2 linked regions of the Saccharomyces cerevisiae S288C genome follow. The main gene of each other region encodes a partner of the protein of the gene in region 2 in a complex. Each region holds a gene or a part of one and is shown on either strand. Other genes may lie near its edges. A codon is read from its position in the direction of its gene.

Evidence for each region.
Region 1: the proteins of DPB2 (region 2) and POL2 are in contact, whole or in part, in a cryo-EM structure (PDB 6WJV), measured with the Saccharomyces cerevisiae proteins. Residues at the interface, in NP_015501.2 of Saccharomyces cerevisiae: Phe207 (codon at 5,185), Leu208 (codon at 5,188), Pro209 (codon at 5,191), Ile211 (codon at 5,197), Phe218 (codon at 5,218), Leu219 (codon at 5,221), Tyr222 (codon at 5,230), Leu287 (codon at 5,425), Asn289 (codon at 5,431), Asn291 (codon at 5,437), Phe292 (codon at 5,440), Glu299 (codon at 5,461), Asp300 (codon at 5,464), Pro301 (codon at 5,467), Asp409 (codon at 5,791), Asp410 (codon at 5,794), Leu411 (codon at 5,797), Lys412 (codon at 5,800), Ile413 (codon at 5,803), Ser440 (codon at 5,884), Val441 (codon at 5,887), Pro442 (codon at 5,890), Val443 (codon at 5,893), Phe444 (codon at 5,896), Ala445 (codon at 5,899), Ser446 (codon at 5,902), Met447 (codon at 5,905), Ser448 (codon at 5,908), Ser449 (codon at 5,911), Arg450 (codon at 5,914); in NP_014137.1 of Saccharomyces cerevisiae: Asp1115 (codon at 9,871), Ile1116 (codon at 9,874), Pro1117 (codon at 9,877), Glu1133 (codon at 9,925), Tyr1327 (codon at 10,507), Asp1329 (codon at 10,513), Ser1330 (codon at 10,516), Glu1332 (codon at 10,522), Pro1333 (codon at 10,525), Gln1369 (codon at 10,633), Glu1410 (codon at 10,756), Lys1411 (codon at 10,759), Asn1413 (codon at 10,765), Cys1414 (codon at 10,768), Ser1416 (codon at 10,774), Phe1418 (codon at 10,780), Asn1419 (codon at 10,783), Gly1425 (codon at 10,801), Val1426 (codon at 10,804), Phe1427 (codon at 10,807), Glu1428 (codon at 10,810), Pro1595 (codon at 11,311), Phe1596 (codon at 11,314), Thr1598 (codon at 11,320), Lys1599 (codon at 11,323), Gly1602 (codon at 11,332), Thr1603 (codon at 11,335), Leu1606 (codon at 11,344), Lys1614 (codon at 11,368), Leu1617 (codon at 11,377).

Annotation. Positions count from the first base shown.
Region 1 is NC_001146.8:141,684-157,368, forward strand, and holds POL2 (DNA polymerase epsilon catalytic subunit), read left to right. Parts: upstream 1-6,528; coding exon 6,529-13,197; downstream 13,198-15,685. Other genes in the region: PIK1 (1-phosphatidylinositol 4-kinase), read left to right, coding at 1-2,395; IST1 (Ist1p), read right to left, coding at 2,597-3,466, 3,572-3,598; PDR17 (phosphatidylinositol transporter), read right to left, coding at 3,880-4,932; protein transporter YIF1, read right to left, coding at 5,213-6,157; ORC5 (origin recognition complex subunit 5), read left to right, coding at 13,417-14,856; ribosome biosynthesis protein LTO1, read right to left, coding at 15,176-15,664. UniProt on the Saccharomyces cerevisiae protein: Catalytic component of the DNA polymerase epsilon complex which participates in chromosomal DNA replication.
Region 2 is NC_001148.4:884,408-891,543, forward strand, and holds DPB2 (DNA polymerase epsilon noncatalytic subunit), read left to right. Parts: upstream 1-4,566; coding exon 4,567-6,636; downstream 6,637-7,136. Other genes in the region: BSP1 (Bsp1p), read left to right, coding at 1-1,151; YPR172W (pyridoxal 5'-phosphate synthase), read left to right, coding at 1,389-1,991; AAA family ATPase VPS4, read right to left, coding at 2,117-3,430; CSA1 (Csa1p), read right to left, coding at 3,636-4,301; Rab geranylgeranyltransferase BET2, read right to left, coding at 6,694-7,136. UniProt on the Saccharomyces cerevisiae protein: As accessory component of the DNA polymerase epsilon complex participates in chromosomal DNA replication.

The sequences.
Region 1 (15,685 bases), on a different chromosome or scaffold from region 2:
TATAGGTAACCAGGTCTTTGAAGAAAGAATCTCATCTTCAATCAAACTCCCAAAACGTAAACCTAAGTATTTGGATAATTCATACGTTCATAGGACATATGATGGCAAAAATATAAACAGGGACGGAAGCATTTCAAATACCGCAAAGGCTCTCGATGGAAATAAAGGTGATTATATTTCTCCAAAGGGACGTAATGATGAAAATAATGAGATTGGTAACAATGAAGATGAAACTGGTGGTGAAACGGAGGAGGACGCGGACGCTTTAAACTCTGATCACTTCACCAGTTCTATGCCAGATCTGCATAATATTCAACCAAGGACTTCTTCTGCTTCATCTGCTTCTTTAGAAGGGACACCTAAGTTAAACAGGACCAATTCCCAACCCCTTTCGCGCCAGGCATTCAAAAACAGTAAAAAAGCGAATTCTTCTTTGAGTCAAGAAATTGACTTGTCGCAATTATCGACCACTTCAAAAATAAAAATGTTAAAAGCAAATTATTTTCGTTGCGAGACACAATTTGCCATTGCGCTAGAAACAATATCTCAAAGGCTAGCTCGAGTACCGACAGAAGCTAGATTGAGTGCCTTACGAGCCGAGTTGTTTCTATTAAACAGGGACCTACCAGCGGAAGTAGATATCCCCACTTTATTGCCTCCAAATAAAAAAGGAAAGTTACATAAATTAGTGACCATTACTGCTAATGAGGCACAAGTTTTGAACTCTGCAGAAAAAGTTCCATATTTACTCCTGATAGAATACTTGAGAGACGAATTTGATTTTGACCCAACAAGTGAAACCAATGAAAGATTATTAAAGAAGATCAGTGGTAATCAGGGAGGCTTGATATTTGATTTAAATTACATGAATAGAAAAGAAAACAACGAAAATAGAAATGAAAGTACTCTTACTAGCAACAACACTCGATCTTCGGTATATGATAGTAACTCGTTCAACAACGGGGCCTCCCGCAATGAAGGTCTATCCAGTACCTCAAGAAGTGATTCAGCGTCCACAGCTCATGTTAGGACTGAAGTCAATAAAGAGGAAGATTTAGGTGATATGTCAATGGTAAAAGTCAGGAACAGAACGGATGACGAAGCGTATAGAAATGCTTTAGTAATACAGAGTGCCGCAAATGTTCCAATTTTACCTGATGATAGTCAAGACAGAAGCCCAGAGTTGAACTTTGGCTCAAACTTGGACGAAGTACTCATCGAGAATGGAATTAATAGCAAAAATATACATAGCCAAACTGACGCTTTAGCAGACCAGATGAGAGTTTCAGCTGTTATGTTAGCACAATTGGATAAGTCGCCACAACAGTTATCAGAAAGTACCAAACAAATCCGCGCTCAAATTATTTCATCAATGAAGGAGGTGCAGGATAAATTTGGTTACCATGATTTGGAAGCCCTTCATGGAATGGCAGGTGAGAGAAAATTGGAAAACGATTTAATGACGGGTGGTATTGACACTTCATATCTAGGTGAAGATTGGGCTACCAAGAAAGAGAGGATACGTAAAACTTCGGAATATGGCCATTTCGAAAACTGGGATTTATGTTCTGTAATCGCCAAGACGGGTGATGATTTGAGACAGGAGGCGTTTGCATACCAGATGATTCAAGCGATGGCCAATATTTGGGTTAAAGAAAAAGTTGACGTTTGGGTTAAAAGAATGAAAATTTTAATTACTAGTGCGAATACGGGACTTGTGGAGACCATCACAAATGCTATGTCTGTGCATAGTATTAAAAAGGCTTTAACCAAAAAAATGATTGAAGATGCAGAACTAGATGACAAGGGTGGTATTGCCTCTTTGAATGATCACTTCCTTAGAGCTTTTGGTAATCCTAATGGATTTAAGTATAGAAGAGCACAAGACAACTTTGCTTCTTCGTTAGCCGCATATTCTGTCATTTGCTATCTCTTGCAGGTTAAAGATAGACACAACGGTAACATTATGATCGATAACGAAGGCCATGTAAGTCACATCGATTTTGGATTTATGCTATCAAATTCACCCGGCTCAGTGGGCTTTGAGGCCGCACCATTCAAATTAACTTACGAATATATTGAACTGCTAGGCGGAGTAGAGGGAGAAGCGTTTAAAAAGTTTGTTGAACTAACTAAAAGTTCGTTCAAGGCTCTGAGAAAGTATGCTGATCAAATCGTATCAATGTGTGAGATTATGCAAAAGGACAATATGCAGCCTTGTTTCGATGCTGGCGAACAAACAAGTGTACAACTACGACAAAGGTTCCAATTGGACTTATCAGAAAAAGAAGTTGATGACTTCGTAGAAAATTTCTTGATAGGTAAATCTTTGGGTAGTATTTACACCAGAATATACGACCAATTTCAACTTATTACACAGGGTATATATAGCTGAGAAGGAAAATAGCTGTGACAGAACTGGAAAAACAATTTGCAAATGTCCGGAGAACAAAAAAATTGGAATTTTAGTAAAAGGAATATACATATATTTATTTATTGCCGAGAATAATAGAGCAGCTGACTCAGAAAAAGCAAGGTAAAAGAATGAGAGTAAAATAAATATGTGGTTAATTAACCATACATATAAATTATTATCTTATTTTCTGCGTAAAGCGTCAAACCGTTTCTTCAACTCATCTAGTTCATCATTTTCTTGCTCCTTCTTAGTCTTTCTTTTTGTAGTTTTCTTTTCTGATTGTTTCTTTTCGATCACTTCCTTTTTGATATCTTTCGGAATCTTGAGCTCGTTCTTGATATTTTCACTATTCTGCCTAGGCTTTTTAACAGTGATAGGGTGTTTAGCATCTGCATTGTCATTATCGTCATTATCTAAGGCTAAAATAGGCTTTTCTTCGTCATTATCCTCGATATCTCCCGAGGGGTCACTAAAGTCTGAAGAAATGTTAGAAGACGACGAAGATAAGGAATTCTCCAGCTTACTATATGGCACATCGTATGTTTTCGCGATTTCCTTCAAATAAAGATCAACTAGTTCTTCTTTTGGAACTGAGGGAGAGCATTTTTTTATAATCTTTTCAGGGACATCGATATGATCTGCTATTACTCCATTAACAAACTCAACGTTTATTTTCCAGGCCATCAAATCTTTCAATTGGCTAAGTTCTTTGACTTCATCAACGAAAAGAATCGCATAGATTAGGGATCTGATAGCTTCGTTAATACCATCATCCATATGCTCTTTGACAAGCTGTTCCTCGGTGGAGATATCGTTTATTACCTGCACTCTAGCCAGTAGTAATTCACAATATAGTTCCAATATCTCTAGTAGCTCAATATGAATATCGTCATGAATTAGCGTCTCCACACGATAATGCGCCTTCTGTTCTTTATTTGTCAGTAACAGTTGTGCAACCTGTCTTCGAGACTGCTTTGCAATCGCCTGTTGCTTTTCTTGAGCATATCTTAACCTTTGAATACACATTTTCAGGCATGTTTTAAGCTTGATCTATAACAATAATTTGGATGATAGTTTTACCCTTCTTCAGTTAGTACATCCTAGATCTTTTGCATACTAAAGCTTTTTAAAAATTACTATAAAATATAAACATACAGTGAACGGAATCATTGACGGAGCCATTTTTAGTTGTCGTATTCTCTTATCTATCTTCTATGTTGACTAGTTCTGATTGATTAGCTGGAACTAATAGTATATATAATTTTCACACCCTTTGGAATTCAGAAGGCGTTTTTTTTTTCATGAAACAAAACAATAGAGTGCGGATAGCCGATTCAGTTGATTCTAAAAGTATATAAAATGCGATAAGCGCATAAGCAGCCATTATAAACGTACATCTGAGTCTAGATATATACGTTTGTGTAGCGGGAAACGTTAAAAAAAAAAATCTTAATTATAGTTTATCAAATGACCATATCAACAGGATATTTTAATTCGTCATGTTGGCCCTTGGTGTCATATTCACTTAATCCGACAATGCCTCCAAACTTTAAAAATCTATCAAAACGTTTCAATCGTAAATCGTCAACTTTCTTAACCATATCTGGCCAATAGACTTCATGTTTATACTTGAAGTCTAACAGACCATTGTATAGAGCATCTAGTTGAGATGGCTCTATGTGGTTTTCAAATGGTTCGTCAAAGATAGCCTTCGCCTTAGTGGCAGGGTCAAGGAACGGATACATCATCTTCAAAAAAGCCCACGCAAACCATGGGATATTGATCAGGACACACTTAGCTAACCTTTCAGGGTAATGATCTTGCATGACGTTCAAACACATCCTAGCAATAGAGATGGGTGGAGCTTTATCAGTGATAATACCAGGTTCTTTATAACTTTTGAAATCTACCAAGACTGTGATCTTTTCTACACCTTGGGGAGCTACAGTTGTCGCAGTTTCCATCATGTAGACTAATTCTTGGACTTGTCTAAAGGAAGATTCTGTGTTTTGACGACCATTTTTCATGTAGTATAGAGGTCTTTTAGCGTTGTCAAAGCCCAAAATAACCTGTTTACCAGTTTCGTTCTCAACGGCAACTTTGTCAGCTGTTAAAGGGTCTTTGTCCTCCTTACCATGTGTAAGTCCAATTTCTCTCCTCCATACCAAGGTTTTGGTGAGACCTTTTATGGCGTTCGCGGTGTTCCATTTATTGGCTCTTAGGTATCTTAGAAAACACTCCCTAGAAAGCCAAAACTTCTCCCAATCACTCAAGGGTCTGTCATTGGCATGTGTCCCATTGTCAAGGTCATTGAGATTTTCTGGTAATTTCAGATCATCATCTTGAAAATGTCGTAAGACAGCTCTATATTTTTCGTTTTGATCTTCGGAGATGGGTTCCAGTAGAGGTGCGTTACCATACTTGGCAGGAGGGTCCAAGAATATCTTATCACATGGAATAAGTTTCTCTTTAGGCACAGCAGGCGTATGGTCCCGTTTTCTTGAAAAAAGACCCATTTTTGTTCTTCTTCTTGTGCTTTCTTTGTGTGATTTTTCAGGGTCTTTTTTTTTAAACAATGATGTAAATTAAATCTATCTAAAAAGCGTGATTTTTCCCACGAATTTTAATCCCTCTATTGTTCTCTTTCCACTCCATATTGAGTGAAAGGAAAAATAAGAAAAGTAAATAGAAAATTTATGACGTAGGAATAAAAGTATATAAGTATTTAACAAATTGACCGTAGATAATAATAATGCGCATGAAATTAAATCCTCTCTTTGATCTCTTCAATCAAGATCAACCCATTAACCACATTAGAACATTTTGCCAAATGAAGCCATAGACGAATAGGAAGTAATTGCACTTCTTGACGGTCGATTTGCTGATGGAAACGTGTATATCATCGTCTTCAGCACCGGAGCGGCTTAGTAAATTGAACTTGACGGATCTTAGTAGGAATACGCCAAAGGCAATAAATAAGTAAAATTTTATCAAAATATTCAGGTTAAATGGCATGGTCACGTTGGTCAAAAGCTGGGCGAGAATCAATGGAACAAATTTGTAGCCGACATAGCACAACAGTTCGACCAAACTGAAGCTTGGAATCTTAGAATCGATCAAAAGATACAAGCCAAGCTTCAAAATCAACAAATCTAAACACACAAACGCCAGAGTAGAAGACAGTTTGTAGTACAAGTCTTCGGGGTTGAATGAACCCTTCAGACCTTGCTGCGTATTCCAGATGAGAATATAGGTAACTAGTCCCATAATAGGCATGTACATGTCTGGGGAGTTCACGTCATCCCTTGGTGGCAAAAAGTTGCCAGAGTCCATAATTCGTTGCCAGTTCTTGGTTCCGTTAAGAAAAGGAACTAGGATGAGTTTCAATTTATTGATGACATAACGGGTGCTGACTTGAAAATACGTTGAAATTTGTTGAGAGCCGGCAGCGTTTGCAGTGGCTTTATTGACCGTTTCTTGAAACTGGTTAAAGTTATCCTGACCAATAAAATTAGAAAATGCGCTCTGCCCTAGTTGGAATGCCATCGAACCACGAGGATCTTGGAATGGAAAACCACCGCCACTGCCATTTACGTTTGCATTCATATTCGCATTACCTTGGCCATTCACGGGCGTGTTCCTCGGAATTTGCATTGGTCGTTGCTGTTGTGGAGTGTGGGAAAAGCGATCGTTAACGCCATTCTGCTCACTTGTTGCATATGCGTACGGATTATAAGACATCTTGGTATGGGCCTTTGGTTTTCGTTTTCTGCTATTGATACTCAGTAGCGAGGTCTTACAATCGAAAAGTCAAAAAGATGAGTTGTAGTATAAAACAACAGCTCTGGTGTGCAATATGGATCTTGATACAGAGTCTCGGATATGCTGTTTTAGCACTGAGAAAAAGTAATAGTAACACTGTCAGTGTTCGTCAAAGGCCCAAGTTTATTGTCATTTGAATTGTCAGAATGGTTTATTTTCAGGTAGGGTAACCAGAACGCGTAAGTTTCTTGCATCTTTTACCATTTTAACTGGAAGAGGACCTATCAAAAAGAGCATATGATGATGAAAGAGCACATTCTATCAAGATAACACTCTCAGGGGACAAGTATATGATGTTTGGCAAGAAAAAAAACAACGGAGGATCTTCCACTGCAAGATATTCAGCTGGCAACAAGTACAACACACTCTCAAATAATTATGCGCTTAGCGCGCAACAGCTCTTAAATGCTAGTAAGATCGATGACATCGATTCGATGATGGGATTTGAAAGATACGTACCGCCGCAATACAATGGCAGGTTTGATGCGAAGGATATAGATCAGATTCCAGGCCGCGTAGGGTGGCTGACGAACATGCACGCAACGCTGGTCTCTCAGGAAACCTTATCCAGTGGTAGTAATGGCGGCGGCAATTCGAATGACGGAGAACGTGTAACGACCAACCAAGGTATTTCCGGAGTTGACTTCTACTTTTTAGATGAAGAGGGTGGGAGCTTCAAGTCGACAGTTGTCTATGACCCATACTTCTTTATTGCGTGTAACGATGAATCAAGAGTAAATGATGTGGAGGAACTAGTGAAAAAATATCTGGAATCTTGTCTCAAAAGCTTACAAATCATTAGAAAGGAAGATCTTACCATGGACAATCACCTTTTAGGGCTGCAGAAGACACTTATTAAGTTATCATTTGTAAATTCCAATCAGTTATTCGAGGCCAGGAAACTCCTGAGGCCAATCTTGCAGGATAATGCCAATAATAATGTGCAAAGAAATATATATAACGTTGCTGCAAATGGCTCGGAAAAAGTTGACGCCAAACATCTGATCGAAGATATCAGGGAATATGATGTGCCGTATCATGTCCGAGTATCTATAGACAAGGACATTAGAGTCGGTAAATGGTATAAGGTAACTCAACAGGGATTCATTGAAGATACTAGGAAAATTGCATTTGCCGACCCTGTGGTAATGGCATTTGATATAGAAACCACGAAGCCGCCTTTAAAATTCCCGGATTCCGCCGTAGATCAAATAATGATGATTTCGTATATGATCGATGGGGAAGGTTTTTTGATAACAAATAGGGAGATAATCTCTGAGGATATTGAAGACTTTGAGTATACACCGAAACCGGAGTATCCTGGTTTTTTCACCATATTTAACGAAAACGATGAAGTGGCGCTTCTACAAAGGTTTTTTGAACATATAAGAGATGTACGACCCACTGTTATATCCACCTTCAATGGTGACTTTTTCGATTGGCCTTTTATACATAACAGAAGTAAGATTCACGGCTTGGACATGTTCGATGAAATTGGTTTCGCTCCAGATGCTGAAGGTGAGTACAAGTCCTCATACTGCTCTCACATGGATTGTTTCCGTTGGGTGAAGCGTGATTCTTATTTACCACAAGGTTCCCAGGGTTTAAAAGCTGTTACTCAATCTAAGCTAGGTTATAACCCAATTGAACTGGATCCCGAATTAATGACGCCGTATGCATTTGAAAAGCCACAGCACCTTTCCGAATATTCTGTTTCCGATGCAGTCGCTACGTATTACCTTTACATGAAATATGTTCATCCTTTTATCTTTTCCCTTTGTACTATTATTCCTTTGAACCCGGATGAAACATTGAGAAAGGGTACCGGTACTTTGTGTGAAATGTTGTTGATGGTTCAAGCTTATCAACATAATATTCTTCTACCAAATAAGCATACAGATCCCATTGAGAGGTTCTATGATGGACATCTTCTAGAATCCGAGACTTACGTGGGTGGACATGTGGAGTCATTAGAAGCTGGTGTTTTTAGGAGTGATTTGAAGAATGAATTCAAGATAGATCCTTCTGCCATTGATGAATTATTACAAGAATTACCAGAAGCTTTGAAATTTAGTGTGGAAGTTGAAAATAAGTCCAGTGTAGATAAAGTAACGAATTTTGAGGAAATAAAAAACCAGATAACGCAGAAATTATTAGAGTTGAAGGAAAACAATATAAGAAACGAACTACCTTTGATCTATCATGTAGATGTCGCCTCTATGTACCCAAACATCATGACTACAAATAGACTACAACCAGATAGTATCAAAGCAGAGCGCGATTGTGCTAGTTGCGATTTTAATAGACCCGGAAAAACCTGTGCAAGAAAGTTAAAATGGGCTTGGAGAGGAGAATTCTTTCCCAGTAAGATGGATGAGTATAACATGATCAAGCGTGCATTACAAAATGAGACTTTTCCCAACAAAAACAAGTTTTCTAAAAAGAAAGTTTTGACATTTGATGAACTAAGTTACGCAGACCAAGTTATCCACATAAAAAAACGTTTAACTGAATATTCAAGGAAAGTTTATCATAGGGTTAAAGTATCAGAAATTGTCGAACGAGAAGCCATTGTCTGCCAAAGAGAAAATCCATTCTACGTCGATACCGTGAAATCCTTTCGTGATAGGCGTTACGAATTCAAAGGTTTAGCCAAGACTTGGAAGGGAAATCTGTCCAAAATTGACCCATCTGATAAGCATGCGAGAGACGAGGCCAAAAAGATGATTGTGCTTTATGACTCATTACAATTAGCTCACAAAGTTATTTTGAATTCGTTTTATGGGTATGTTATGAGGAAAGGCTCTCGTTGGTATTCCATGGAAATGGCGGGGATTACGTGTTTAACAGGTGCCACGATCATTCAAATGGCGAGAGCTTTAGTAGAAAGGGTAGGAAGACCATTAGAATTAGATACTGATGGTATTTGGTGTATCTTACCAAAATCTTTCCCTGAAACTTACTTTTTTACATTAGAAAATGGTAAAAAGCTTTATCTCTCCTACCCATGTTCCATGCTGAATTACAGAGTTCACCAAAAGTTTACGAATCACCAATACCAAGAATTAAAAGACCCATTGAACTATATATATGAGACGCACAGTGAAAACACGATTTTTTTCGAAGTTGACGGACCATATAAGGCCATGATTTTGCCTAGTTCCAAGGAAGAAGGAAAAGGTATAAAGAAAAGATATGCTGTCTTCAATGAAGACGGCTCACTTGCTGAACTGAAAGGTTTTGAATTGAAGAGGCGTGGTGAATTACAACTAATAAAAAATTTTCAAAGTGATATTTTCAAGGTCTTTTTGGAAGGTGATACATTAGAAGGATGTTACAGTGCTGTAGCAAGCGTATGTAACCGTTGGTTAGATGTTCTTGATTCACATGGTCTTATGTTAGAAGATGAAGACTTGGTCAGTTTGATTTGTGAAAATAGAAGTATGTCAAAAACTTTAAAGGAATATGAAGGGCAAAAATCTACTTCTATTACGACGGCAAGGAGATTGGGGGATTTTTTGGGTGAAGATATGGTAAAAGATAAAGGTCTACAATGTAAATATATTATTAGTTCAAAACCTTTCAATGCACCTGTTACTGAACGAGCCATTCCAGTCGCAATATTTTCAGCGGACATTCCCATCAAAAGGTCTTTTCTGAGGCGATGGACATTAGATCCATCTTTGGAAGATCTGGATATCAGAACCATAATCGATTGGGGTTATTATAGAGAAAGACTTGGATCTGCTATACAAAAGATAATTACTATTCCAGCAGCATTACAAGGGGTTTCCAATCCTGTTCCAAGGGTTGAACATCCAGATTGGCTAAAAAGAAAAATCGCTACAAAGGAGGATAAGTTTAAGCAGACTTCACTAACCAAATTTTTTTCGAAGACAAAGAATGTACCAACAATGGGCAAGATAAAAGATATCGAGGATTTGTTTGAACCAACTGTAGAAGAAGATAACGCCAAAATTAAAATTGCAAGAACTACTAAAAAGAAAGCCGTATCCAAGAGGAAAAGAAATCAGCTTACAAATGAAGAAGATCCACTAGTATTGCCCTCGGAGATTCCTTCCATGGACGAGGACTATGTTGGGTGGCTAAATTATCAAAAAATTAAATGGAAAATCCAAGCAAGAGATAGAAAGCGTCGAGACCAATTATTTGGTAATACAAACAGCTCCCGTGAAAGAAGTGCACTAGGAAGTATGATTAGGAAGCAAGCTGAATCATATGCGAACTCCACTTGGGAGGTCTTACAATACAAGGATTCCGGTGAGCCAGGGGTTTTGGAAGTATTTGTAACAATTAATGGCAAAGTCCAGAACATCACCTTCCATATACCAAAAACTATTTATATGAAATTCAAATCTCAAACAATGCCGCTACAAAAGATTAAGAATTGCCTTATTGAAAAATCTTCTGCATCGTTACCAAATAATCCCAAAACGTCTAATCCAGCAGGCGGTCAGCTATTCAAAATTACTCTACCGGAATCTGTCTTTCTGGAAGAAAAGGAAAACTGCACTAGTATCTTCAACGATGAAAATGTACTTGGTGTATTTGAGGGCACTATCACTCCTCATCAAAGAGCGATCATGGATTTGGGAGCTTCGGTAACGTTCCGCTCAAAAGCAATGGGTGCGTTAGGCAAGGGAATACAGCAGGGTTTTGAAATGAAGGATCTTTCAATGGCGGAAAATGAAAGGTATCTGAGTGGATTTTCAATGGACATTGGCTATTTACTACATTTCCCAACATCAATTGGGTATGAATTTTTTTCATTATTCAAGTCATGGGGAGATACTATTACTATATTAGTTTTGAAACCATCCAACCAGGCTCAGGAAATAAATGCCTCATCATTAGGACAAATATACAAACAAATGTTTGAAAAAAAGAAAGGTAAAATAGAAACATATTCTTACTTGGTTGATATTAAAGAAGATATCAATTTTGAGTTTGTATATTTTACAGATATCTCAAAATTGTACAGAAGACTATCACAGGAAACTACTAAATTAAAAGAAGAAAGAGGTCTGCAGTTTTTACTCTTGTTACAATCTCCGTTTATCACTAAGCTCTTAGGCACAATCCGGCTTCTAAACCAGATGCCCATTGTTAAGCTTTCCTTGAATGAAGTTCTTCTACCCCAATTGAACTGGCAACCGACATTATTGAAGAAACTTGTTAACCACGTTTTATCCAGTGGTTCGTGGATTTCTCACTTGATCAAGTTATCCCAGTATAGTAACATTCCAATCTGTAATTTGAGGCTGGATAGTATGGATTATATTATTGATGTTCTTTATGCAAGAAAACTAAAAAAAGAGAACATCGTGCTTTGGTGGAATGAGAAAGCTCCACTTCCAGATCATGGAGGCATTCAAAATGATTTTGATTTAAATACATCATGGATAATGAATGATTCAGAATTTCCCAAAATTAATAACTCAGGTGTGTATGACAATGTAGTTCTCGATGTTGGTGTTGATAATTTAACAGTGAACACAATTTTGACATCAGCATTAATCAATGATGCTGAAGGCAGTGATCTAGTTAACAATAATATGGGTATAGATGACAAAGATGCCGTTATTAACTCGCCATCTGAATTCGTGCACGACGCCTTTTCTAATGACGCTTTGAATGTTTTAAGAGGTATGTTAAAGGAGTGGTGGGATGAGGCCCTAAAAGAAAATTCAACCGCAGATTTGTTGGTAAATTCCCTGGCAAGTTGGGTTCAAAACCCGAATGCGAAACTATTCGACGGATTACTAAGATATCACGTTCATAACTTAACAAAAAAAGCCTTACTTCAATTAGTAAATGAATTTAGTGCACTTGGCTCAACTATTGTATATGCAGACAGGAATCAAATTCTAATAAAGACAAACAAGTACTCACCTGAAAACTGTTACGCCTACAGCCAATATATGATGAAGGCAGTTAGAACAAATCCAATGTTTAGTTATCTGGACTTAAATATCAAACGTTATTGGGATCTGCTAATATGGATGGATAAGTTTAATTTTAGTGGATTAGCATGTATTGAAATAGAGGAAAAGGAAAATCAGGATTATACCGCTGTTTCGCAATGGCAACTAAAGAAGTTTCTGTCACCAATATATCAGCCCGAATTTGAGGATTGGATGATGATCATATTGGATAGTATGCTAAAGACAAAGCAGAGCTATCTAAAATTGAATTCAGGGACGCAAAGACCTACCCAAATAGTTAATGTAAAAAAACAAGATAAGGAAGATAGTGTTGAAAACTCGTTGAACGGATTTTCTCACCTTTTTTCCAAACCACTAATGAAAAGAGTCAAAAAGCTTTTTAAAAACCAGCAAGAGTTCATTTTAGATCCTCAGTATGAGGCAGACTATGTTATTCCTGTTCTTCCTGGTTCCCATCTGAATGTGAAAAATCCCCTTCTAGAACTTGTCAAATCACTCTGCCATGTCATGTTACTTTCAAAGAGTACAATTTTAGAAATCAGGACCCTGAGAAAAGAACTGCTGAAGATATTTGAATTGCGTGAGTTTGCTAAAGTAGCGGAATTCAAAGATCCAAGTTTGAGTCTCGTGGTGCCGGATTTTTTATGTGAATACTGTTTTTTCATTTCTGATATTGACTTTTGTAAGGCAGCTCCTGAATCTATTTTTTCATGCGTCAGATGTCACAAAGCCTTTAATCAAGTATTGTTGCAAGAACACCTGATTCAAAAACTACGTTCTGATATCGAATCCTATTTAATTCAAGATTTGAGATGCTCCAGATGTCATAAAGTGAAACGTGACTATATGAGTGCCCACTGTCCATGTGCCGGCGCGTGGGAAGGAACTCTCCCCAGAGAAAGCATTGTTCAAAAGTTAAATGTGTTTAAGCAAGTAGCCAAGTATTACGGTTTTGATATATTATTGAGTTGTATTGCTGATTTGACCATATGAGTAAGCAGTATATAACGCGAGGTTCAATGGCCTCTTTACCATGAAAAAAAAAAAAAAAAAAAAAAAAAGGTAAGGAAAAAGAGTATTTTCAATTCGTTTCTGAACATATAAATATAAATAACCGAAAAATTAGCCCTTGAACATAATTAACACTCTTCTTTGATATTTAAATCACAAGTACTTTTCTTTTATTTTCTTCTTAATACTTTTGGAAATAAAATGAATGTGACCACTCCGGAAGTTGCTTTTAGGGAATATCAAACCAACTGTCTCGCATCGTATATTTCTGCTGATCCAGACATAACTCCTTCAAATTTAATCTTGCAAGGTTATAGTGGAACAGGAAAAACCTACACTTTGAAGAAGTATTTTAATGCGAATCCAAATTTGCATGCAGTATGGCTGGAACCTGTTGAGTTGGTTTCTTGGAAGCCCTTACTGCAGGCGATAGCACGTACTGTACAATATAAATTGAAAACCCTATATCCAAACATTCCCACCACAGATTACGATCCTTTACAGGTTGAAGAGCCATTTCTTTTGGTAAAGACGTTGCACAATATTTTTGTCCAATATGAATCTTTGCAAGAAAAGACTTGCTTGTTCTTGATATTGGATGGTTTCGATAGTTTACAAGATTTAGACGCCGCACTGTTTAACAAATATATCAAACTAAATGAATTACTTCCAAAAGATTCTAAAATTAATATAAAATTCATTTACACGATGTTAGAGACATCATTTTTGCAAAGATATTCTACACATTGCATTCCAACTGTTATGTTTCCGAGGTATAATGTGGACGAAGTTTCTACTATATTAGTGATGTCTAGATGTGGCGAACTCATGGAAGATTCTTGTCTACGTAAGCGTATCATTGAAGAGCAGATAACGGACTGTACAGACGATCAATTTCAAAATGTAGCTGCGAACTTCATTCACTTAATTGTGCAGGCTTTTCATTCTTATACTGGAAACGACATATTCGCATTGAATGACTTGATAGACTTCAAATGGCCCAAGTATGTATCTCGCATTACTAAGGAAAACATATTTGAACCACTGGCTCTTTACAAAAGTGCCATCAAACTATTTTTAAGCACAGATGATAATTTAAGTGAAAATGGACAAGGTGAAAGCGCGATAACCACAAATCGTGATGACCTTGAGAACAGTCAAACTTACGACTTATCAATAATTTCGAAGTATCTGCTCATAGCCTCATATATTTGTTCATATCTGGAACCTAGATACGATGCGAGTATTTTCTCTAGGAAAACACGTATCATACAAGGTAGAGCTGCTTATGGACGAAGAAAGAAGAAAGAAGTTAACCCTAGATATTTACAGCCTTCTTTATTTGCTATTGAAAGACTTTTGGCTATTTTCCAAGCTATATTCCCTATTCAAGGTAAGGCGGAGAGTGGTTCCCTATCTGCACTTCGTGAGGAATCCTTAATGAAAGCGAATATCGAGGTTTTTCAAAATTTATCCGAATTGCATACATTGAAATTAATAGCTACAACCATGAACAAGAATATCGACTATTTGAGTCCTAAAGTCAGGTGGAAAGTAAACGTTCCCTGGGAAATTATTAAAGAAATATCAGAATCTGTTCATTTCAATATCAGCGATTACTTCAGCGATATTCACGAATGATTATCTCCCTGGAAGGTATCCAGAGGGCAGGATACGTTCGAAACAACAACTACGTTATATAAATATTTATACATAGTGGGATAGAATGAACAATTATCAAGTAAACCTTGTATTTTTTGTTCCCACGCTCTACGCTCTGTTTCTTGGATATGGTAATCAAAGATTAATACGTATAACCGTTATTAATTCAGTCCACTAGAAACTATTAAAAGCGCCCTACTGTATGGAAAAACAATGAATGAGGAGACTGAACGGCGCAAAATTGTTAGTTTAGTTGCTCTTTTTGGCGGCCGGCGATAATGTTCTTCACTTGGTATTCTTACCAGGATTGAGCCTGATTTTGTTTTGTCTTATTCTTTGCGATGTCTTCATTTTCTACAAAACCTCTAATTTCTCCGGCAATGGCCCTTGAAACGTCTTCAAAGACTTCAAATGTCACGGTGGGGGTTCTTTTATCTTTAACTAATCGATGAAGAGTTATTAGAATGGTTCTAAACTTATTTTTCAATTTTATTAACACCCTCTCAAATTCCATCACACTTTCATCATCGTTATTCATTTTCAAACCTTTCATTAAAGTACGAATGGTATGTATATTCTTTTCTAGTGTTGGACTATGCAATCCATACGATTCTATAACATCACACAAACCTTCCATTTGTCCCAGGAGCGTAAATCTTTGGAATCCCACTTGTAAACCATACTGTTTACCTTCTAGAAAGCTCTGCTTTATATTCTCATTCTGGCCCTCCAGAAAACCTTCTTGGTAATACTGTTCTTCTAGGTTTAGTAAATTATCAAAATCCATTTTTATTTGTCCAGTGATCTT
Region 2 (7,136 bases):
ATCATATCAAAATCACAGATGGGAATGAAGAGAAACCGCTTCTTCCAACAAGGCCTAACAAAGCAGAAGTTACAGAAAGTCCGTCATCAAGGTCAATAAAACCGGATGCTGTGGTACCTGAGCGCGTTAAGCCTGCTCCACCTGTCTCACGCTCTACAAAACCGGCGAGCTTTTTAAGTTCTTTGGAAGATAACAAATTGACAAAGGCGAAGAGTTATAATTCGGAAATGGAAACTCCCAAAACAACTGTAAAAAGTTCTCATATCGATTACTTGGATTCCATACAACTAAAACCAACCACCTTATCTCCTACAATGAAAAATAAACCTAAACCAACCCCTCCTTCTCCACCTGCGAAAAGAATTCCAAGATCTGAAAGTTTTATCAAGTCTATGCTAAACTCGAATCTCACGACAACTTCCAAGCCTTCTTTGCCTGAAAAACCTCAAAAGCTACGGAATGCAAATTTGGCCGCCCATAAGACCAAACCAAGCATACCGCCAAAGAAAGTGGAGTTGAATATAGTATTACCTGAGCTACGTCCCGTAGAAACTTCTCCAACAAAGCAGAACTTCGAAAACTCAATCGATTTGCCCAAGTTACGATCCAGCAACCGTAACATTAAAAAAGAAGAGGAGGACAGTATTCCAGAAGCAATAAAAGGTATACAAAATCTGAAGAAAACCAAACAGCAGAAGCCTGCAATCCCTCAGAAAAAATCATTTCTAACAAATAATTCGAAAAATACTACACTCAAAAATGGTGATGATATTAACAAGTTAAATGACGAAATTGAAGCTCTATCATTGCGGAATAACCTGAAGAAACGGCCACCAACGGCGCCACAACGTAAAATTTCTTTGCCAGAGGCATTGCGAAAAGTCGAATTGATGAAAAAATCTAAAACCGAGCCTGTTTTAGAGTCCTCAAACGAACTGAGCATAAACGCAAAATTAGACGCAATAATTGCCTCTAGAAACTTAAGAGCATCTAATACTCTACCAGAACTTAGCGGTGTTAACACTAATATTGCAACTTCTGACAAGTATACTACTTCTAGAGATGAAACAGTGAAGGAAACTAAACCATTAGTTCACCCGAATAAAAATAGGACTCGTGGTCCCAGAAGAAAACTTCCAACACGCGTGTAACTACAGAGTAGACCTCCGTATTTTACACATGTATGTACGTACATATGATGTAACAATAATATGATAATTTAATGGGATACATGTATTATCGTCACTTCCCACGTTTGCGCTTTGACATTTGCTCCCCTTATGAACCTGAAGGAATATAAATCATCGATCTTTTTGCTACACTTTTCCTCCCTTATTAGAAAATAGCAGTAAAATTACAGGCTATTCAAACCCTGAAACATCTCAATTATGGCTTGGACTAGTACATTACCAGCGCATCTACTGAACCTGATCAAAAACTCCAAATATGTTCACGTGGCCACCTGTTCTAAAGACTGCATCCCTTCAGTGGCATTGATGAACTATATCTATGTGCCAGGTGAAAAACTGTTCGGTCAAACAGATAATAAGAATGACTACATTATATTTGTTTCTCCTCAGGACACACAAAAGTTTTACAACATCAAGGAGAACCCTAAGGTCGCCCTGTTGTTTCACGATTGGATCATCGCGAATAATTTGTCAGTGGGCAAGGAAAGCATCTCTGGGACTCCGACGCCGACTTCTATTCCTCATGAAGAGCAACGTCAAAGCGAGCTTTTAAATTTGTTACAGGAGTTAAATCAAGCCGAATTGAACCAAATGAGCGCATCTATTGGTGGCGAAACCGAAATTGTCAATCCTGAAAGTGAAGAATCCAAGTACTATAAAGATTTAATACTAAAGGCTAATCCTGATGCGAAAGCTTTTATATTTGAAAAGAACACCGCCGTTGTTAAAGTTAGAATTGATAATGCTAGGGTATCCAATAATGAGAACAGAACAATGTTTCTAAGTAAAGGGAAGAGTTAACTGTCCTCTGCTTTTCTTTATCTATTTTGCATACGATTCTGTATTTAATTATTCTGTTTTTTTTTTTTTTTTATTTTTTATTTTCATGTACACAAGAAATCTACATTAGCACGTTAATCAATTGACTAGTTACCTTCTTGACCAAAATCTCTAGTGAACTGTTCTTGCTTCAGCAAGTCATCCTCATTCACGGTAGGTCTCGTCGATTTGATAGCCTTTAAGAAATCCTTTATGGTGAGATCTGGTTCTTTTAATTCATCAGCTTCAATATCCGTCCAACTCATCTCGATGGCGCCATCATCACCTGGAGAGCATGGTGTTAGTTTTCTTGTTTCGTCGTCCTCCGTAGAGACATCTTTGAAATGTGTCGCGCTTTGAATTTTTCTTATCGGTTGCATTAGCGCATCTTTCACCACTACAGCAATATCACTCCCGGAATAACCTTCAGTCATTGCACCTAAAGTTCTATAATCTTCCTTGGTCAATACGCATGGAGTGTCGCCGACGTTAATCTCGAACATGGTGGTTCTTGCCGCCAAATCTGGTAATGGTATATATATTCTTCTTTCAAATCTTCTCCTGATGGCACTGTCCAGTTGCCATGGGATATTTGTTGCGCCAAGGACCAAAACACCTTGGGAGTCATTCCCAACACCATTCATTTGTACCAATAATTCTGTTTTAATTCTTCTACTTGCTTCGCTCTCTCCTTCTCCTCTGGTACCTGTTAGCGCATCCACTTCATCTATAAAAATAATAGAAGGTTTATTTTCTCTTGCCATCGCAAATAACTGTTTGACAAGTTTTTCAGATTCACCCATCCACTTAGAAACCAAATCACTGGAACTAACACTGAAAAAGGTAGAATTGGCCTCGGTGGCCACTGCTTTTGCCAAATATGATTTACCTGTACCTGGTGGTCCGTACAATAAGATTCCCGAAGTGGGCTTACGGTTACCTTTGAACAAATGTGGGAACTTGACAGGTAAAATAACGGCTTCTTTAAGGGCCTCTTTGGCTCCTTCCAGTCCAGCCACGTCTTCCCACTTAACATTGGGCTTCTCAGACAAAATAGCACTCGATAAGGCACCTCTTAGCTTTTTGTTGTCTTCTCCACCATTATCCTCACCCTCTTCCTGAGAGATTTTCTTATTACCACCGTTGGAACCACTACCAGCGCTAGGAGATTTCTTTGCCGCGTTTGCCTCTTCACTTTCCAAGTGCTTTTTCAACTGCTCTGCACGGTTTAGATACTCTGTAAACTTCGCTCTTATCAAATCCTTCGACTTAGGGTTTTTCTCGTATTTCAAAGCCAACATCAAATAATCTAATCCGTTATAGTATGCTGTATACGCCTCCTCATACTGCGTGGCTGTGTCCAGGTCAATGGCCTTTTGAACCAGTTCTATTCCCTTAGTTAAAAAATCTCCCGTGCTCATTTGTACCCCATCTACTATAGGCACTCTATGCTGCTTTATTTTTGTCTTCCATGTCCTCAACCCACGATTAAATCGTTCGATATCATGAAGTTCTTATTTTTTTTTTTTTTTCACCCAGCGGGGGTACCCGTAAAGCAATACAATAAATATCATCAAGCAAGAATAAATAGATGTACAGAAAGAACAACCATGACGTGTTGTGTTTCTATTCAGCGTGCGGAACCGAATCCTCAGTCGGAGATTCTCTGAGAATGTTCGTTTGAGGAAGCTTAGGATACTTGGCGTAGAAGTTGGGGCCCTTTGGGGGCTGTAGGGAAGAAACTGGTCGTTGGCGCGACTGGAGTGGCGACATGTGAATCGGACTTGAAGTCACTAACGGGTTTACTGCTCTTACTGGCGAAGGTGGTAAATTTTCTGTCGGTTTGAGGTTGTCTCGCTCAATATTTTTCATGTCTCGACGAGACTCCAGGTATCTTTGATCGATGTTTGCGTCGTCCAACACCGACTGCAACAGATGACACTTTTCCTTGACAAATTGTAGTTCCTTTTGTGTAGAGTGCAGCTGCTGCCGCAATTGCGCAAACTTTGCTTGCCATTGTAGAGGCACACAATCCTGAGAATTTTTAGACAATGGGACAACGCTTTCTTCTTCCTCATCTGCGGGAGACCCCCATACAAACGCTTGGATCTTGGCAAGAGTCTTAGCAATATTGAATCCAAACGCGTGTTGTTGAGCCCTCTTTTTGGAGATATTCTTGTAGTTTTTAGAACGTGTCCTTTGTGAAGCGTGTCTAACATGATTTCTTTCGCGAGGCACAACCACCAATTTGCGCTCTTTTCGTATCCCCAATGTCTTTTCCTGAATTCCCATTGTGATCTTCAATGCCAACCCAACCTTCTTTTTACTTTGTTGGGTCTAAATTATGTTACTTTGTCCATTTCATCTCTTTTCAAGATGGAATCTAAAAGAAGAAAAACGACAAAAGGAACAAAAGTGATGTGACGCGTTATTTTTCGCGTGACATAATAGAAAAATATTTCAACTGGGCATCTTTAACACATGTTACAATAAAGTTGAGATGACTTGTTTATGCCTTTAAAGTTTGTAAGTGGAACTAGAAGCGTCTATGTGTGAAATGTTTGGCTCTGGGAATGTTCTGCCTGTTAAAATTCAGCCTCCGCTGCTTAGGCCACTGGCGTATAGAGTTTTATCAAGAAAATATGGTTTATCAATTAAATCTGATGGACTGTCTGCTCTTGCAGAATTCGTTGGCACTAATATAGGTGCTAACTGGAGACAAGGGCCTGCTACAATAAAATTTCTCGAGCAATTTGCTGCAGTATGGAAACAACAAGAAAGAGGCCTTTTCATCGACCAGAGCGGGGTTAAAGAAGTTATACAGGAGATGAAAGAACGTGAGAAAGTCGAATGGAGTCATGAACACCCTATTCAACATGAGGAGAATATCTTGGGACGGACAGATGACGATGAGAACAACAGTGACGATGAAATGCCGATCGCTGCTGATTCATCCTTACAAAATGTTTCATTATCTTCACCCATGCGACAGCCCACCGAAAGAGATGAATATAAACAGCCTTTCAAGCCAGAAAGCTCCAAGGCGTTGGACTGGAGGGACTACTTCAAAGTTATCAATGCTTCTCAGCAACAAAGATTCTCATACAATCCGCACAAAATGCAATTTATTTTCGTCCCCAATAAAAAGCAGAATGGGCTAGGAGGCATTGCGGGTTTTCTACCAGATATAGAGGACAAAGTTCAAATGTTCTTGACAAGATATTACCTCACGAACGACAGAGTCATGAGAAATGAAAACTTCCAAAACAGTGACATGTTTAATCCATTATCATCTATGGTGTCTTTACAAAATGAACTGTCCAATACTAACCGACAGCAGCAATCCAGCAGTATGAGTATCACCCCAATAAAAAACCTACTAGGTAGGGATGCTCAAAACTTTCTACTATTGGGGCTCTTAAATAAGAACTTTAAGGGCAATTGGTCACTGGAAGATCCGTCTGGATCTGTCGAAATTGACATTTCCCAAACTATCCCTACACAAGGCCATTACTACGTGCCAGGTTGCATGGTTCTTGTGGAAGGAATATACTATTCTGTAGGAAATAAATTCCATGTTACCTCCATGACTTTACCCCCTGGTGAGAGAAGAGAAATTACATTAGAAACGATAGGTAATCTCGATCTCTTAGGAATACATGGCATTTCTAATAACAATTTCATTGCTCGTTTGGATAAAGATTTGAAGATTAGATTACACCTTTTGGAGAAAGAATTAACAGATCATAAATTTGTAATTCTCGGCGCAAATTTGTTCCTAGATGATTTGAAAATTATGACTGCACTCAGCAAAATTTTGCAAAAATTAAATGATGACCCACCGACCCTATTAATTTGGCAAGGTTCTTTCACTTCAGTTCCCGTTTTCGCATCAATGAGTAGCCGGAATATAAGTAGTTCCACTCAATTTAAGAATAATTTCGATGCCTTGGCGACGCTTCTGTCAAGATTTGACAATTTGACCGAAAATACCACAATGATATTTATTCCAGGTCCTAACGATTTATGGGGGTCGATGGTGTCATTGGGGGCAAGTGGGACATTACCGCAAGATCCAATTCCTAGTGCGTTTACCAAAAAAATCAACAAGGTCTGTAAAAACGTTGTATGGAGCTCAAATCCAACTAGAATAGCATACTTATCCCAAGAAATAGTCATTTTCAGGGACGATTTATCCGGAAGATTCAAAAGACACCGTTTGGAATTCCCATTCAACGAGAGCGAAGATGTTTATACTGAAAACGATAACATGATGTCTAAAGACACCGATATTGTACCAATCGATGAATTAGTTAAAGAACCAGACCAGTTACCACAAAAGGTTCAAGAAACAAGAAAACTCGTTAAAACAATACTAGACCAGGGTCATTTATCGCCATTTCTTGATTCCTTGCGCCCAATTTCATGGGATTTGGACCACACTTTGACACTTTGCCCAATACCATCGACAATGGTTCTTTGCGACACTACTTCTGCACAATTTGATTTGACATACAACGGTTGTAAAGTAATTAACCCTGGAAGTTTCATTCATAATAGACGTGCTAGGTATATGGAGTACGTTCCATCCTCAAAGAAAACTATACAAGAAGAGATATATATCTAAATAATGCATCAAAATAAGAACACTTAAACAAGCACGGTAGTGTTGGTACTCTGCCATCTATTTGTATGGATACTTTTTGAATTTTGATGTAACGGATTTCGGCATACAATATATGGGATCTATGGGGACTAAATTGTCGTATCCCATTAAACTTAAACCAGCAACACCAAAAACTGTATGGAAGACATCCACTTCATTTTCAGGCCTGTCGCTTATTCCACCCTTCTTCTCATCTTGACATTTGAGTATAAACTCAGTTAGCTTCTCATAATTTATCCAATCTAGTCTACCAATAATAGCTAATGAAGATAAAACCCACCAACTATAGCAAACATCGGGCAGTTTACTTGGCCTACCGTTTAGTCCACCTTCTGGTAATTGTCGTTCGCAAAGCCACCACCCAATTTCTTCTAGTTGGTCGTCACTAAGCATATCCAATTTGTTAGCAATTGCCAAAGCGCCAAGACAGGTAAAAGCTTGAGCTGCATGGGATTCAGCAT